Linked DNA regions of Rattus norvegicus. The protein of the gene in region 2 binds, or shares a complex with, the protein of the main gene of each other region. Links are inferred from orthologs where the notes say so. Each region holds a gene or a part of one and is shown on either strand. Other genes may lie near its edges.

What was found. The genes of interacting proteins can lie anywhere in the genome.
Region 1: the proteins of Gnaq (region 2) and Plcb3 are in contact, whole or in part, in a cryo-EM structure (PDB 8UQO), measured with the Homo sapiens proteins. The link is inferred for Rattus norvegicus from reciprocal best matches to the Homo sapiens genes GNAQ and PLCB3. Residues at the interface, in NP_002063.2 of Homo sapiens: Pro185, Thr186, Thr187, Ile189, Glu191, Pro193, Arg202, Gln209, Arg210, Ser211, Glu212, Arg213, Arg214, Lys215, Trp216, Ile217, His218, Val240, Glu241, Glu245, Glu249, Glu250, Ala253, Leu254, Arg256, Thr257, Ile258, Thr260, Tyr261; in NP_000923.1 of Homo sapiens: Pro257, Arg258, Leu259, Asn260, Glu261, Val262, Leu263, Arg707, Asp709, Lys710, Ile719, Asp721, Gly722, Ile723, Val724, Ala725, Ser845, Asp846, Tyr847, Ile848, Pro849, His852, Tyr855, Ala856, Ala858, Leu859, Ile860, Asn861, Pro862, Ile863.
Region 3: the proteins of Gnaq (region 2) and Casr are in contact, whole or in part, in a cryo-EM structure (PDB 8SZG), measured with the Homo sapiens proteins. The link is inferred for Rattus norvegicus from reciprocal best matches to the Homo sapiens genes GNAQ and CASR. Residues at the interface, in NP_002063.2 of Homo sapiens: His63, Leu196, Gln197, Ser198, Ile323, Tyr325, Ile337, Arg338, Phe339, Phe341, Ala342, Lys345, Asp346, Ile348, Leu349, Gln350, Leu351, Asn352, Leu353, Glu355, Tyr356, Leu358, Val359; in NP_000379.3 of Homo sapiens: Lys644, Ala645, Asn647, Arg701, Val702, Leu704, Val705, Phe706, Ala708, Lys709, Ile710, Pro711, Thr712, Phe714, Phe801, Arg873, Thr876, Ala877, His879, Ala880, Phe881, Val883, Ala884, Arg886, Ala887, Thr888, Leu889.

Annotation. Positions count from the first base shown.
Region 1 is NC_086019.1:213,586,325-213,591,055, forward strand, and holds the start of Plcb3 (1-phosphatidylinositol 4,5-bisphosphate phosphodiesterase beta-3), read right to left. Parts: upstream 3,112-4,731; 5' UTR 3,100-3,111; coding exon 3,001-3,099; intron 438-3,000; coding exon 360-437; intron 198-359; coding exon 129-197; intron 42-128; coding exon 1-41. UniProt on the Homo sapiens protein: Catalyzes the production of the second messenger molecules diacylglycerol (DAG) and inositol 1,4,5-trisphosphate (IP3).
Region 2 is NC_086019.1:222,850,405-222,855,402, reverse strand, and holds the start of Gnaq (guanine nucleotide-binding protein G(q) subunit alpha), read right to left. Parts: upstream 2,951-4,998; 5' UTR 2,856-2,950; coding exon 2,720-2,855; intron 1-2,719.
Region 3 is NC_086029.1:77,738,917-77,743,724, reverse strand, and holds the start of Casr (extracellular calcium-sensing receptor precursor), read right to left. Parts: upstream 3,112-4,808; 5' UTR 2,780-3,111; intron 1-2,779. UniProt on the Homo sapiens protein: G-protein-coupled receptor that senses changes in the extracellular concentration of calcium ions and plays a key role in maintaining calcium homeostasis.

The DNA.
Region 1 (4,731 bases), about 9.3 Mb from region 2:
TCAGGACCCCCAAAGCCCAGTACCTCTCGAATCTTGGGGTCCTGTGTAGTAAAAGTCAAAGGTGAGGAGGAGAAGTGTCCTGTCCCCTGACAACCTTAGCCCCATCAGTATCAGACTGTATCCCTCACCTTGGGCAGGCGGGCATAACGACCTGTCCTTGTGTCCCTGATGGAGCTGATGTCCAGTGTGTCCACCTCCTGGGAAAACCAGAGCCAAGGTTTGTGTCTAAGAAATATGAGGGGTCTTCCCACTCACGCTGTGGAATGCCAACCCCCTGGCTAGGCCTTACCCCCAGGACAAGGGCAGGGGTCACCCCTAGAGGCCTAGGCCTGAGCCGGCAGCACCAACACCACTCTCACCATGTTGGGTCCTGTCCAGTACAAGAAGAAGCCATTGGGGTCCACTCGCAGGGTCACCAGGTTCCGACTGGAGGCCTCCTGAGGGCAGTACAAGACAAGGGTCAGGGGAGTGAGAGCTGGACCTACGGTAGCTGGTTTCTGCCAGTGAGCTAAGAGGACGCTCCGCCGACACACAGGTGCTCCTGGAGACGAAGACAAGTCGTCAGCGTGACATTTCAGGTTCAGTCTCTAACATGTCTCCCAGCTTCACCTTTACCCTGAGATTCTATCCCATAGGCTACTACCCTGTCTCTAACACCCAGCTTTTGCCACACCCTACCCTGTACTTTCACTTTTTCTCTACCTTGAAACTGCTGTGGAGGTCTCCAGGAGCCCATTCTAGCTTTGGCTTCCCAACAAGGCCTGAGAGGTCAAGAATGCTAGAATCCTCTGCCTCCGATCCCTTATTATTCCTGTATGAGAGCAGAGGGCTTAGAAGCCTGGAGCTAAAGTTCTCTCTGTCCTTGAGGCCTCACAGTATCTGGCCACCCTAAGATCTTTCTCAAAGCTTATCACCCATCACACTGTACCTCGTGGGATCCTTATAGCCTCTAGGCTCACCCATCTTATAGAAAAGGTCCCTCAGGAAGACTAGGCAGGGGGTTCACTCTTCTCCCTAACAACCCTATGGTGACTGACAGGAAGGCAGGATATGAGGAAAAGGCTCACTTTCTTTGTTTTTTGTTTTTTGTTTTTGTTTTTGTTTTTGTTTTTCGGAGCTGGGGACCGAACCCAGGGCCTTGTGCTTGCTGGGCAAGCGCTCTACCACTGAGCTAAATCCCCAACCTCAAGGCTCACTTTCTAAAAAGGACCCAGTCACTGATGCCCAAGGCTACCCCACGGAGCCCAAGACTCAGGACCAGCAAGGACTTCACTCAAGTCAATCTTACTCTTACTCTCCCTTGAGCCAAAAGAGGATTGAAATCCCCAAACTCTGGCTCTAGACAACCCTGCCACCAACAGTATACACTCCAGGTCCCACAGCCCCAACTGTGAGCCACAGCGAATTCTACACCCTGAATTTCACCCCCCTTCATGTTCCTCAACGCCGTGTAGGATGTGTCCTGCATCACCCTCATTTTACACAGGAGGAAACTGAGGAGTCGGGATCTCCAGGGGTACACTTGTAAAGTCCTGGCACGTGGCAAACAGAGAGAGCCAAGACCCCTCTGGACCACCCCTGGCTCCTGATCTCAGCATCAACCTCATAGCAGAGACCTCAGTTTGTCTCTTGGGAGAATAGGGGTTGCCCCACCCATGCAGTCTTGGTTTACAAAAGAACAGCAGCTGATCTGGGGACATTCATAATCCTTCAACTCTAACCAGGTCCCAACCTCTCCAGGAGATTCAGAACCTTGCCCTGGGCCTGACTAACCAGCCACCAGTAGTACAAGAAAGGGAGAAATTTGTGGGTACTGTCCCTAAAGCCGCTGTGGTACCATCCTCAGGGTCCTAACCTCCAAAGGCTACCCAGGACTCTGGCTCTGCAGTTCCAAACTTTGCTCGGCACCCCCACCCCACCCCAGGCCCTCTCCTTGTTCCCACTTCCTTATTTGGGTTTATCACACTGCAAGGAAAAGGAGAAATTTTTCCCTTTAGGCTGGCCTGGGGGAAGGGGTCTTCTGGGGACCCAGGGGTACCCACCCTTGCCCAGCACACCTGCAGCTAAGGCCACGCCCCCAGCCCCTCCCCTTAGTTCCCACTCCTGCCCCACCCAGCCGGAAAGAAACCTAGCCCTAGCGTCTTCCAGGCCTATGGCCCGACTGGGAAGGAACAGTAAGGAAGCTCAGGCCGCTGAGTTGAGGCCCTAGGGAGCGAGGGGCCCAGGGGGCAGGGGAGAGAACAGTACAGAAACCAGAAACGTGGGTAAGACGTGATATCTGGATAAGAAGCCGCAGGTGGGTATCAGGAAAGTACCAGGGAGAAAGTAGTAAAAAATGGGGAGGGCAGGATTTATTGGGGTTCAAAGTCACTAAATTAAGGAGTGGGGAGCAAAGTTCCCAGAGTTGGAGGGACCTGGAAAGGGACAAAGTCTACGGTAAGGGGTAACTTGGCGCTCCCATCTGAACAGAAAGCTCGCTGGAACCCAGAAACAGGATGAAGGGGTACCAACCAGGACAGGCTGAAATGTGATGAATAGAATAGCTCAGGCGATGCACTGCTAAGAGTAGGATCCCAGTGGCACCCCACCCAAGACAAGGATGCCCTATACCCCCTGGGAGCCCAGTGCCAGGCACAAGGATCTGAGGACAAGACCAGAAACTGAGAACCAGCATGGAGACTGATATTCATCGTCTGGCAAGGGTGGGAAAGAGTAAGAAGAGGGACAGGATTTATTGAGGTTCAAAGTCTCCATGCCAAGGAGTGGAGAACCCAACTGACCACAGCTAAAGGATTGGTTTGCGGGTCGGTGAGGGGAACGACGACGACAAAGTCTTCAATTACCAGGACAACAGTGGGACTCAAGTTTCCGGAGTGCAGCAAGGCTGGAATAGGGGTGCAGTGGTCAGGCTACACTGAAGTGGGGGTCCCTGGCATCTAGCCGAATGTGACTGAAGGAATCCTTCGATCAGGGCAGAGTAGGGGACAGCCACTCTCTTACCTCGTCCCATTTGATGAATTTACTCCCGCGCCGCAGGGTCTCCACCACGGTGGGCGGCTCCAGCTGCAGCGCGTGGACGCCGGGCCTCGCGCCCGCCATGGCCAAGCCAGGGGCGGCTCGGGGACCTATGGAACCCCGACGGGAACGGACGGTGCCACTGCTTTCTCCACACGCTCCCGCGCGGCCCGCTCTGGCCCCGCGGCGTCAGCGCCCGCCCGCCAGCCAGTCTGTCCCGGACGGACGGGAGACTCGGCGCCCGGCCCCGCCCCCGCCGAGCCCCGCCCCGTCGGGCGGTGCCGCCCCCTCCCACCGCGGAGGGGTCGCCCGACCCGCGGCGGCGCCCCCTGGCGGTCGGGGCGGCGACTGCAGCCAAAGGGATGATAGAGCGGAATTGGGGGGGGGGGGGGTCTTTGTTGGCCGGCTCAGTAGGTCTCAAGTTTTCCGGAGTCTTAGATAAAGTAGGAGAGCTTGGGAGCCCGGGGCTATTGAGGGTGCACCTGGAAAGACGGGTGTTCGAACTACCGAAGACATGCCAAGGTCAGCTAGTTGAGGACTCCAGGTGGAAAAGGCGAAGATAATAAGGCTGGGGGACACAGACCCCTGTCCCCAACCCACTCCTACCGCACTTAGCTGAACTCAGGAAATATCACCGCATCTCTCTCCATCCCACTCCACCCGCGTGCCCTCACTTCGCCTCACCCCCTGCTGCTGCAGAGCAGTCCCCCCCCCCACCTCCCAGGGAGCACTTAGCTGGCTAATGGGCCTCCCGCCGGCAGGCGCCCCTCCCCCGTCCCTAGCCCTGGAGGCCTGGAGCTGCCACCTCCTTTGAGGACCCAGGCATCCTGGTTTTCCAGAGAAAACCTTGCCGCAGTTCTTGGCGCTGCTGACCCTGAGATGGGAGCCAGCCTCAGTGAGCCTCGTAGCAGAAAACCGCACAGTGAAGGATGGTTGTTTGCCCAGAGGGGGCAGAAGCCTCGTGGGTGTCCCCAAAGGAGGGGTTGTGCAGCTCCTGGCCCATAGCAGGTGCCCTGAAATCTGTGTTCCAGCGATCGGAGGAACGGAAGGGGCAGACACATGGGCACCAGCCGGGGTGGGGGCTGCAGCCCCTCCCGCAGGGCTTGGCCGGGGGGGGGCTCCTGCCTGGGGGCCCCTGTGGGAGCCCCCCCAATACAGAGGAGGCAGCAGCAGCAGGTTTAAAGTAGAACTCATCCAGAGGGGCCAGCCAAGTCACCTAGAAACCCAGAAAGAGTTGGAGCTGGCTCTGGGGGAGGAGGGTCAGCTAAGGAGGAGCTTCCCTGCCGGCGTCTTTGCCCCAGGCTCTCAGCCTCAAGAGGAGCCCTGACTGGCACTGGCTGTTCTCCAAATCGCCATCATAATGGCGGCAAACTTAATGAATCTAGTTGTCTTTGGCTGTGGCCTTGTGCAGTGGTATGATTATTATCTCCACTTGAGGCCCAGAGAGGGGAAGTGACTTGCCCAAGGTCACACAGCTTCCTGAGAGGATTTCACCCATCATTCTGACTTCCTGCCCCTGCTCCCTACTCTGTAGGAGAAAAAAAGGGGGGAGAAAGGTACAGGCCTATGATCCTCCTCCTCCTCCTCCTCCTCCTCCTCTTCCTCCTTCTCCTCTTCTTCCTCTTCCTCCTTTTCCTCTCTCTCCTCTTCCTCTTCTTTCACAAGAGCTATTTAAAAAAAATACCCCTTCAGAGCTCCAAGTACCACCAATCTTCT
Region 2 (4,998 bases):
CAAAGGAAACAAATGCTAATGTGAAGGATCTAAAGAGAATAAGACAGAAGTTACTAAGTTAAAATGAAACTCTTTACTGTGATAAAATGTCAGAGATCATTCTTCAAGTAGAACGAGATCAAAATGTGTAAGCTCTGTAGAATAAATGAGGCACATACTAGCGTAAGTACTGGATAATGACTCAAAAGAGCCTTACTGGCACACTTGATTATCTCGTCAGATAACCGGTTTTGTGATACCACCATATTTTAATAAGTAAATAATACATTGCTCCCTTGCAGGACAGTTTCCTTGAGTGTCAACCTTGAGTTAAAACTTATTTGAAAACAATTTTACACAGAACTTCAACATGAAGCATGATCCCTCCATGTACAGAAGCCTTCAAAGGTACTAATAATGTGATGAAATACATTCTGTAATCTCCTCTGGATAGATGTTGGTAAAATGAACGAAAGAACTAGGAAATGAAGACTACTCCCAAGGCAGCAGACCAGGAAGGAGCCCCTCCCCCAAGCACTCCCTTGTTCAACACTCATTTCCCTGCTAATCTCACACTCATACACACAGAGACGTTTACACTTAATGTCTATCATGATTACACAAATAATGTGGGTACTGCGTTTGGAAGAAGCCTATCCACACTGAGAACAGCCGTGATTGTTAATGATGCCCAGGGCTCCCACTTCTGACAGAGAACTGTATGGGTTTTTTAAAAAATGTTGTTCATAAATGCAGGTGCTGAATCAACAGCAAATTTTCTACCACCTCCACCAGTCTGTCTCTGATGGGTGAGGTGGGGCCATGTTTAAAGCCTGCTTCAATCTATAATCAGTGAGGGAGGGCCGCCACACACTTACACTGACCACATTTTTAGCAGTAGGACTGGAGGGATTTCCCCTCAGGAAATCATTCCCATGTTCATTTTTTTTAAAGCATAGCATATTATTAAAATAAACAGCATGTAATTAAGTATCTCTATAAGTGTATCCCCCTCTCAGGCATTTAAACCTAGGCCCTCTGACAAACCTAACTCATGGCTGCCTGGAAACCTCGAGCTGTCAAATTTCAGGCAAATAAGTTTGGTTAACTAGACCTCAAATGCCCTGTTCTTAGCTAAACACAAACATATGAAGATTGTAAACAAAGGAAAATTAAAAGCCAGGTCTAAGAGAAAAATCTCTAAAACACATGTTTTCCCTCTTAATTGTATACTGGAACACCGTATATTTATTCCACTTGCCCTTGCTTTTCCCTTCTCAATTTAAAAAAAAAAAAAGAAAGAAAGAAAGAAAGAAAAAGATAAGGCATTCCATTTTCAGCCATGAGAAGAAACAGAAATGATGAGGGTGGTAGACTTACCCAATTTCCCCACTCCCCTTGCCTTATTCCCCTAAAACCCACCTTTTTATTCAGCTCCTTGCCTTCTGTACTGTATGAACACTTTATATGTGCACATTTACCTAACTGGATTTCAATAAAAAAAAAACCTACGCTGGGGAAGGAAATAGCATTGGTAGCCATTTGTGATTGTGATATTTTGCTCCTGACTATAAGTGATCCAGTACATAAGCAGTTCGGTCCCCAAGGTAATGGGTTCCTGGAGCCAGCAGATGGACTGCTCCAGATAGAAAAGAAAGAGGGGAGGGGGGACTTCTCAAATCCCAACCAACGAAGCAATATCCTCTTCTTACAGAAATGTTTGAGAAGCGTTATTTTTACTCATACAAATAAACACAAGTGCAGACATTTTTCAGGCCTGTTCCTGCAAAGCAGTTCATGCTTCCTACCACAGTAGCAATAGTTATGTCATGCTAGCTTGTACATGAACCCTGATCGCTTGATTCCAAACATCCTCTCAGAGATAATAATCAATATAATTCCTATTTGAAAATAGCATTTTCTTCTTAATTTCGTGTTAAAGCAGAATGTTGGATTGTCATTTAGAAAAAAAAAAAAAAAGAGATCTGAGGGAAATTTTCTCGAACTCTTCCCGTTTTTCTTGGAGCCCAGATGGCAAGATACTAAAATGTCCGTTTTAAACAAAAGGTTTCTGTTTGTTTCCAGGAGAGTAACTGAGAGGCTGTGCTGGTTTCCAGTAGAAACTGCTGTGAATTCAGGCATACATCTGGGTCGCCTCATTAAACAAAAGATAGCCGTCTGCTGTCAACAACCACACAGTACAACACTCCCGGATCCTTCATCTTTATCCAGAAGGAATGGTGCAGAAGAGACGCCTGTCACCATCCACTGCCCATGCAACTCTCTGGGGTCACTCCTGTCAGTGGCCTGGTGGCTACAGTGGAGCACATTTGGGCTAGTCTTCCCGCCCCGCCCCTGCCCAGTACGTTAACCCGGGTTTCTTTGGAGCGCCAGCCAAGGCTTCCTCAGCACCTTTCCTAGCTGAATCCAGACCCTAGTCTGCTCCCCGTTTCCACCCTTCCCTCTCCACCCTACAACGCGCCACAATGGACGCTGGCCTGCCACCGCACTGCACGCCATCGCCCACCCGCGCCGCTCGCGCGGACGCTCAGCCGTCCCGCAGACGCGGCGCACAGAGCACGGCCCTAGCTGACACCGAAGGCGCACACCGCAGCTCCGGAGCCCCGGCCCTCGGCCCCTGTGTGCGCGCGCGCGGGTGCGGGTGCCGACCGGGAACGCGCGCGGGGAGGGCAGCGGCGAGCCGGGGCGGGGGGCACCAGGGCCCAAGGGCCGCACTCACCCAGCAGCAGCAGCTTGAGCTCCCGGCGGGCGTCGCGCTTGTCCCTGCGCAGCTGCCGCTCGATCTCGTCGTTGATCCTCCGGGCTTCCTTGGCCTCCTCGCTCAGGCAGCACGCCATGATGGACTCCAGAGTCATTCTTCCGAAGTGCCTCGCTGCAGCCCCGCCGGCGCCCTGCTCACACGCGCGCACACACGCCCTCCGCCCTCGCTCCCCCGAGGCAGCGGCGGCCGCGGAGTCCCGCCGCCCGGGCGCGCGTCAGGGACGAGCTCAGGGAGCCGCGGTGAGGACGGCGGCCGGGCCCGTAGCCCAGGCGGGCCGGGGACGAGCGGGGCCGGGGGCCTGGGACGCGCGAGGAAAGGCCGCCGCGCCCGGCCGCGCTCACACGCCGCCTTCTTGGAGAGCGCGCGGCCCTCCAGGCGCCGCTGCCGATGCTGCCCTAAGCTGTGCGCCCAGCGGCCCGAGCTCATCCACCGAGGCGGCCCAGCAGCGAGCGACCGCCGACGGCTCCGCGCGCCCGGCGCGCCCGCTCCTCGCCGCCGCCTGACTCGGCTCCGGGCGCCCTCGGCCTGCCCGCGCCCACTCGGCTCGCGCGCAAACCGGGCAGCCGGCCGCCGCGCGCTCCCCGCCTCCGCCCCCGCCTCCGCCGGACGCCCACCCGGCCCGATTGCCAGGCGCGCCGCGGCTGCTCAGTGCTCGCCCTCCCCCTCGCCACACACACACATTTTCTCCTTTCTCTGAACTGGAGCACAGATCCGGGAGGGAGGCGGCGGCGGGAGGAGGGCGGGCGCAGGGGGCGGGCGCAGCGCAAGGGGCGGGGCCGAGGCCCCTCCTGGACAGCTCGCGCTCTCCTCGCCCCGCCCCCGACTGCCGGCCTGGCTCGCCCGCCGCTTCCCTCTGCGCGAGCCCGGGAGCAGCGGTCACGGCCGCTCAAGCGGGGCCGGCCGGCCGGCGAACACAGTCCTTTGGCTGCCGCGGGCCGCCGGGGCGTGGTCGGCGAGAATATGGCGTCCTCGGCCTGCCCTCCGGCCGCTGGCGCGGCGGGAGCCCTGATGGGTGCCCACGCGCTGCACCCCAGGCCTCTCTACAGCCCTGCTGCCCTTTCCTATTTCTAAAACGCCATTCCGGAAAAACTGCCTCAAGTGGCCTCTGACTCCAGATCTGTCTTAGAAAATGGGATACTCTTTACTAGGAAAGAGAAAGGATTGTCACCGGCTCGCTGGGGGTTACCAAGAGATCTGTGGACGGAACTGTCCTCAGTATCTCCAGATAGGAATCTGAATCCTGAAGAGAAAAACCCAAGTTTCCAAGAGCCTCCTGATCTGTTCCAACTTTTCCGGTCACTAAGGTGATTTCTGTTTCCCTACCAGCACACTATGTTAAAAAGTCTGATATTATGAGCTTGACCCTTCTACACCGTGACAGTTAAGGATGATTTCTGGGAGATCTCCAAATAGTACAGAATGAAATGAAAGAGACGGATATGGTGTGTCATAAACTCCACACTCGACAGGCTGAGGCAGGAGAATTGCTTCCTGAGCAGTATGAAACATTGTATCAAAGAAAAGGGGGAGGGGAGAGAATAAAATAGGAAAAAGTGGAGAAACTAGTACCATTGGAGCAAAATTCTACTTGGTTTTTACACTTCTAATTTGAGATGGTTTACTAATAAATAGAAAAAGTCTTGATCACTCAAGGTTATTTGGGGGGAAAAAATGTTCATTCGATTCAATGTGTCTTAAACATCAAGGGGGAGATTCATACTATTCTCCCTGCCTTTGCAGGTAGAAGTGGAGCCCTCCCCATGTTGTGCTTTCCATGAACTGCCCCTATTGATCTAGGCTGCAATGTAAGGTCATAATCATTGCTACAAATTAGGAGTGAAACAAGTCTTAGACTCCAAGGTCTCCCCTCTGCTTTGCCTTATTCTCTACTTCTTTGATGCACCGCGCGCCCGCGCGCGCGCGCACACACACACACACACACATACACACACACCCATCCTCTATGTCAGGACTCAGATGGAGTTGTGGACTTGAAGTCTGTATGTTATACTCTCCTTTTTAATAAGATGTCTTGCCAAGACAGCAAAGAAGATGAACCTCTCACCCCTTTTCTATGAATACCATCAGAGCTGGTAGGACTTGCTGTGAAAATAAATGCTTAAACACTAAAGAGTCAAAGTCAATAGGCAGAAATGTAAAATAGCTTGGGGGAGAATCACAAGTAGTATGCCCTGTGCCCCCATTTTGTGTGGTGGTGGTGATGGTGTTGGTGGTGG
Region 3 (4,808 bases), on a different chromosome or scaffold from region 2:
GAACTGAACCTTCTTCCTTGGTCGGGAGAACTGACCACTCTCTTCCCTTGTGTCTGCTCATGATACCTCCACCTGGCAAACAAAATACTCTCTGTGTACCTAAGTTCTATCCCTGAGAGGAGGGATGGGCTCCTTAAATGCTGGGACTGTGGCTTTCTAATCCATCTTACCCACAATGGTTAGCAGAGTTCCATGCACATAGAAAGTTTACTGCAAGCAATGCTCAATGAATGAAAGTTTGTGCTGGATGAATGTGAAGCACATTGTTTTCTAGAGGCTCTGTGCTGTGACCTTATGTTGTGAGATTTTTATTCATTTTACAGCATCACTGCAATTGTCGATATAATATACCTGTCCGTACTAAGAAGCCAATTATGAAAATTTATAGTATCTAAAACACTAAATCTTTAAATACCGCTCTCTTCTGAACAATACAAGCTGGGCTTGTGGCTCAGGACAGAGTTGGAGCTTTGAGTGTACAAGGCTAGGAATTAGTTTCCTGTGTGTGTGTGTGTGTGTGTGTGTGTGTGTGTGTGTGTGTGTAGAGGAGACACATCCTTCCAATGAGAGCAGCAGCCAGGGATAGAGGGGCAATCTTTGCAGTCCACCTGCCACAGCTATTTTACCTGGGACGCTGTTCAGTGATAGCACTGAACTGTCACCACATAGGCAGCGTGAGCCTTATCTCCGTATTTACCTTCTCAGAGGGAAAGTGGATGATTCACATTTATACCGCAGTATACATTTTATGGTACACAATAAAATGAAATCATAGGAATTAAGTTAATCTGGACATTTAATTTAAAAGCAAGAATTATAGCAATGGAAAACCACGGCCAATGGACAACACACCCAGCCTATGATGACAAGACACTCTTTCCCCTCAAGCCAGTAACACCAACTGCACGTGGGCACACGTCAAGGGGCCCTCCGTAGCACCAGGTCTGTTAGGTGACCAGCAGCCAAATACTATTCCTAACTGAAACAGTCTGACCTCACCTCAAAAATCAGATTTCTTTAACATCCTGATTAGCCTAGAACCCTAGCAGTGGACTGTTTGAGAAAGACTTTCCCGGTCTCACAGTCTCATCTATGTACACCCGTGGAGGACTTAGTGTCTTTCCCTTAGAAGGTTTATTTTAGCTTGCAATCACATAGTCGATAATCATTTTACTGACAGCTGCCCTCCCCCAAGCATCTGTAAGCACAGGGAAGGGGGAACCTTGTCTTATTTACCATCTTGTTCCCAGGAACTCGTGTGTAGCTAGGCTCTACAAACACGTTAAGTGAATACTGATGTTTTTCACATTTTATCCAACCATTCCTCTGTTTATAAGTCATACGCATCAACCCACCCGCACTTGCACCCATCCCGATTCATTCTCTAGTTACAATATCATCCTTAGATCTGCAGAAGAGGGAGCAGCTGGTGCCTGAACTTGGCAGGATCCAGTTCAGAATGGCAGCATATGAAGGAAAAATGAAGAAAATAAGGGACACTGGTATATGTAGATTGAGGTTACTCTAAACAGTTCATACAGCTTCTAAAGAACCTCTCATTCAATGAAAAACACGACCAATTGCTCGGTCTTGACCTACAAACATGGTTTGATTTGTTGATCCTGGAAAAGAGTGAGTGACGTGAGTTGTCGGCATGAACACCACATGTGTCTTCCCTAAGAAGAACTCAGGGTCAGCTCCTGAATGACAGGGCCTGGCCTAGGATTCCTCTCCTCTCAAAGATGTTGGTCTGCTGCTCCCTCACTGTTTTCCGATCTCCTCCATGTCTTCCTTTGTGTCTTCTCTTCCCTCTGCCTATCACAGGGCCAATTTAAAACTCACTTTTCCAGGTCCTCTAGGGGGAAAACCCCAAGCATGCCACTTTGGGGACCTGGAGTTCAGATGGGAGAGGGAATGAATTCTGGGGTGGCAGAGAGTTTGGGGAGACAGCCCTCCTCATCCTCCCTCAACAGTGTACTGCATCACTTTACTGTGCTGAGACATCCCCGAGAACAGGTGGGAACTTGTCAGGGGCGCTACCCCAACATGCCTCTTTGCCAGTCTCTGGAAGGCAAGGCCTTCAGTCTTCCCCTGAGCTGGCTCCCTTTGCCCCAGTATTCTGAGGAAGAATACTAGAGATGGAGCGAGGCGGGTAATGAGGAGAGTGAGGGGGACATCATACTTTTCTGGTATGTTCCTTGAGCAGGAAGGTGGGAGGTGAAAGAATCAGGACAGAAGAGAGCTAGCACAATGAGTAAACTCGTGTTAGAAATGAAGCTGGTCTCCAGACATGCATTGGTGTCGTTTCCTAGTTTAAAGTGCATATCATCGACTGAAAACTACAATGTCGAAACAATAACTCCATCAACGTACTTTTTTTTTAACCTTCAAGGAATATGGAGGCTGGTAACCACACACCCTAATTTGGTGCCACTGAGGCAAGCACCTTGGGTAGGCAGGCAGCTGGTAACACACACACACACACACACACACACACACACACACACACACACCACGCTCCAGAAATCATCTACCTTTCTCCTTCACACTGGGAAATGTTCTCTTTGACTGTGTCACAGGCACAAGACACATCCCACAGCCTTGTTTTAGCGTGAACTCTATTCATCCTCGTAAGCATCCGACCCCGCTGTCCCTGAAGCCAATATTCAGGAATCCCAGGTCTGAGCTGCTACTGCTCCCTGCCCCCAGACCTCTGCCCCCTCTTGCTACTTCTACTAGGGTTCATTGTGCCCGCCCTTCTGGTGTCCCCAAGCCCTACCTGGAGTCCTTGTCCTGGCTTCTTCCACAGGAACACCTGTTGGCCCTCTGTCTGCCCAGGAACAGCTGGATGCTGAAGTCAGGATGTCGTACCAGCCCGCCCAGCTTGCGATGTCAAGTTAATTTGTTTGAGTGGCGTGCTACCGTCTGAAGTTCCCTGGTCGCCTTGGGTCAAGCTACTGCCTCCCCGCAGACCCTCTGACGGCCACCTTGGCCGGGCCCGGGGCTCCGCCCCTTGCCTGCTCCCGCCTGCGTGCTTCCTGGGGTCTCCAGCCTCCAAATCCCTCCAAATACACCTACAGTCCGGTGCCTGAGCCGGCCTGGAGAGTCCCGGGCTCCCTAGATCTCTCAGGTCAGCCTTTGAGCTGTGCGCTTCGGAGCCGGGCGCTGCGGGCGCGACGTCCCTCCCCCAGGCCACCTGCCGGGTCGGGTTTGGTACCTGGGAGACAAAGGTCCAGCGCTGGAGTCCTCCTGCCTGCGATGAGGCTCTAGCCATTCCCAGGCTCCCGCTCCTGCTCCTGCTGTTGGTCGGGAGGATACCTCCCCATACACTCACACTTCCCGCTCCTCCCTGGAGATGAAAAGGGGATCACAAGGCAACCGTGCCAGAGGATGGGGCACTTTTTTCCTAATGAAGATCCAGAACTCACAGTATAATAAACACTCTCAGGCGTTCTGCTGGACTCCAGCGTTGTGTCTGCGGTCTGTGCACAAACAGCTCCCTCCCTCCACTGTCCCAGAGATCTGGTAAGCCATGCCCCAGCATCAGGGTGTGTTTCTTGAAGGCAGGAGAGCCCAGCTTGGCTCATAGTTGTTCTCGGGCTCTGGCACAGCACCTGCCACTCATCATGATACTTGAGTGAAGTGGAAAATCAATTTATTTGGTAGAAGCCCAACATTTGCTTTTCAGCCTTAAAGCCTACTAATTCCTTTGTGTAAGCAATTTGATAGCCAACACACACACACACACACACACACACACACACACACACACACACACACACACACCAAGATAAAAGCAAGAAGCAAATAACACCAAACCTACCAATAGGAAAAAGGTTAAAGAAGTTAAGGTAGTGTGGCTTAATGGTATACTACGCCGTTATAACGCAGACATGGAAACTTCAGTGCCTCCCAGTTTTCTTAGAACAGATTGTGTTTATTCCTATGAACCGCAACAATGAGTGTTTCAGCAAGGCATCCACAGTGGTGCAATAAGGGTACATTTATCATGGGGATAAACACCAATTGTCTAAGTAAACTTAAGACTCCCTCAATAGGGATGAATCCACGCCTGGTACTGTAAGCCTAACTACTTGTGTTTAGAGAAGTCATAGACTTGAGAGGAGAACTCATGGCTGCCATGTTTCTACAGATAAATGTAGTTCTTCTTTAAAAAGGCAGGTTTCTTTTTTTTTTCAACAGATAGAGACAATTTGTTACAAGATACAGAAAAACAAGGGACTGTGGGACACCCTACCGCCAACTGACGCATCAGCAACACAAGCACTGCACCGAAGGCTCATGGGAAATCATGAAGGATGGGGAAGGAAGATTGTAAGAGTCAGAGGCCCATGATGCTTGATATGAGATAGTGTTTACCAGACATAAAGGGAGAAATCACCCAGCGAATCTCAATAATATGGTTGCTTGGGCCAGACAGCACAATTCAACCTAGCAGCCGAGAGAGAGAGAGAGAGAGAGAGAGAGAGAGAGAGAGAGAGAGAGAGTCCTCAATCAGGTTCTCAATCAGGTTGTACTAATACTCTTTATGATGTTTGAATTAGGATTTGGACTTCAAGTGTCACTCCCAGGAGCATTTGCTATTCCCAATTTACGGATGAGACTGGAGCATGTGGAGATGTCTGTACCGGGGATGGAACAGCTGGGAAGCTATAGAGTTGAGGTGGGCAGGGCGTGGCCAGTGCGCATAAATAAGCATCTTCCACAGGGCTTGGTTTTGAGTACGGACAGTGGTGCTAAGAACAGTGGCTTACCAGTTGAAGAAGCTGCGTCTTTTCTAATTCTCC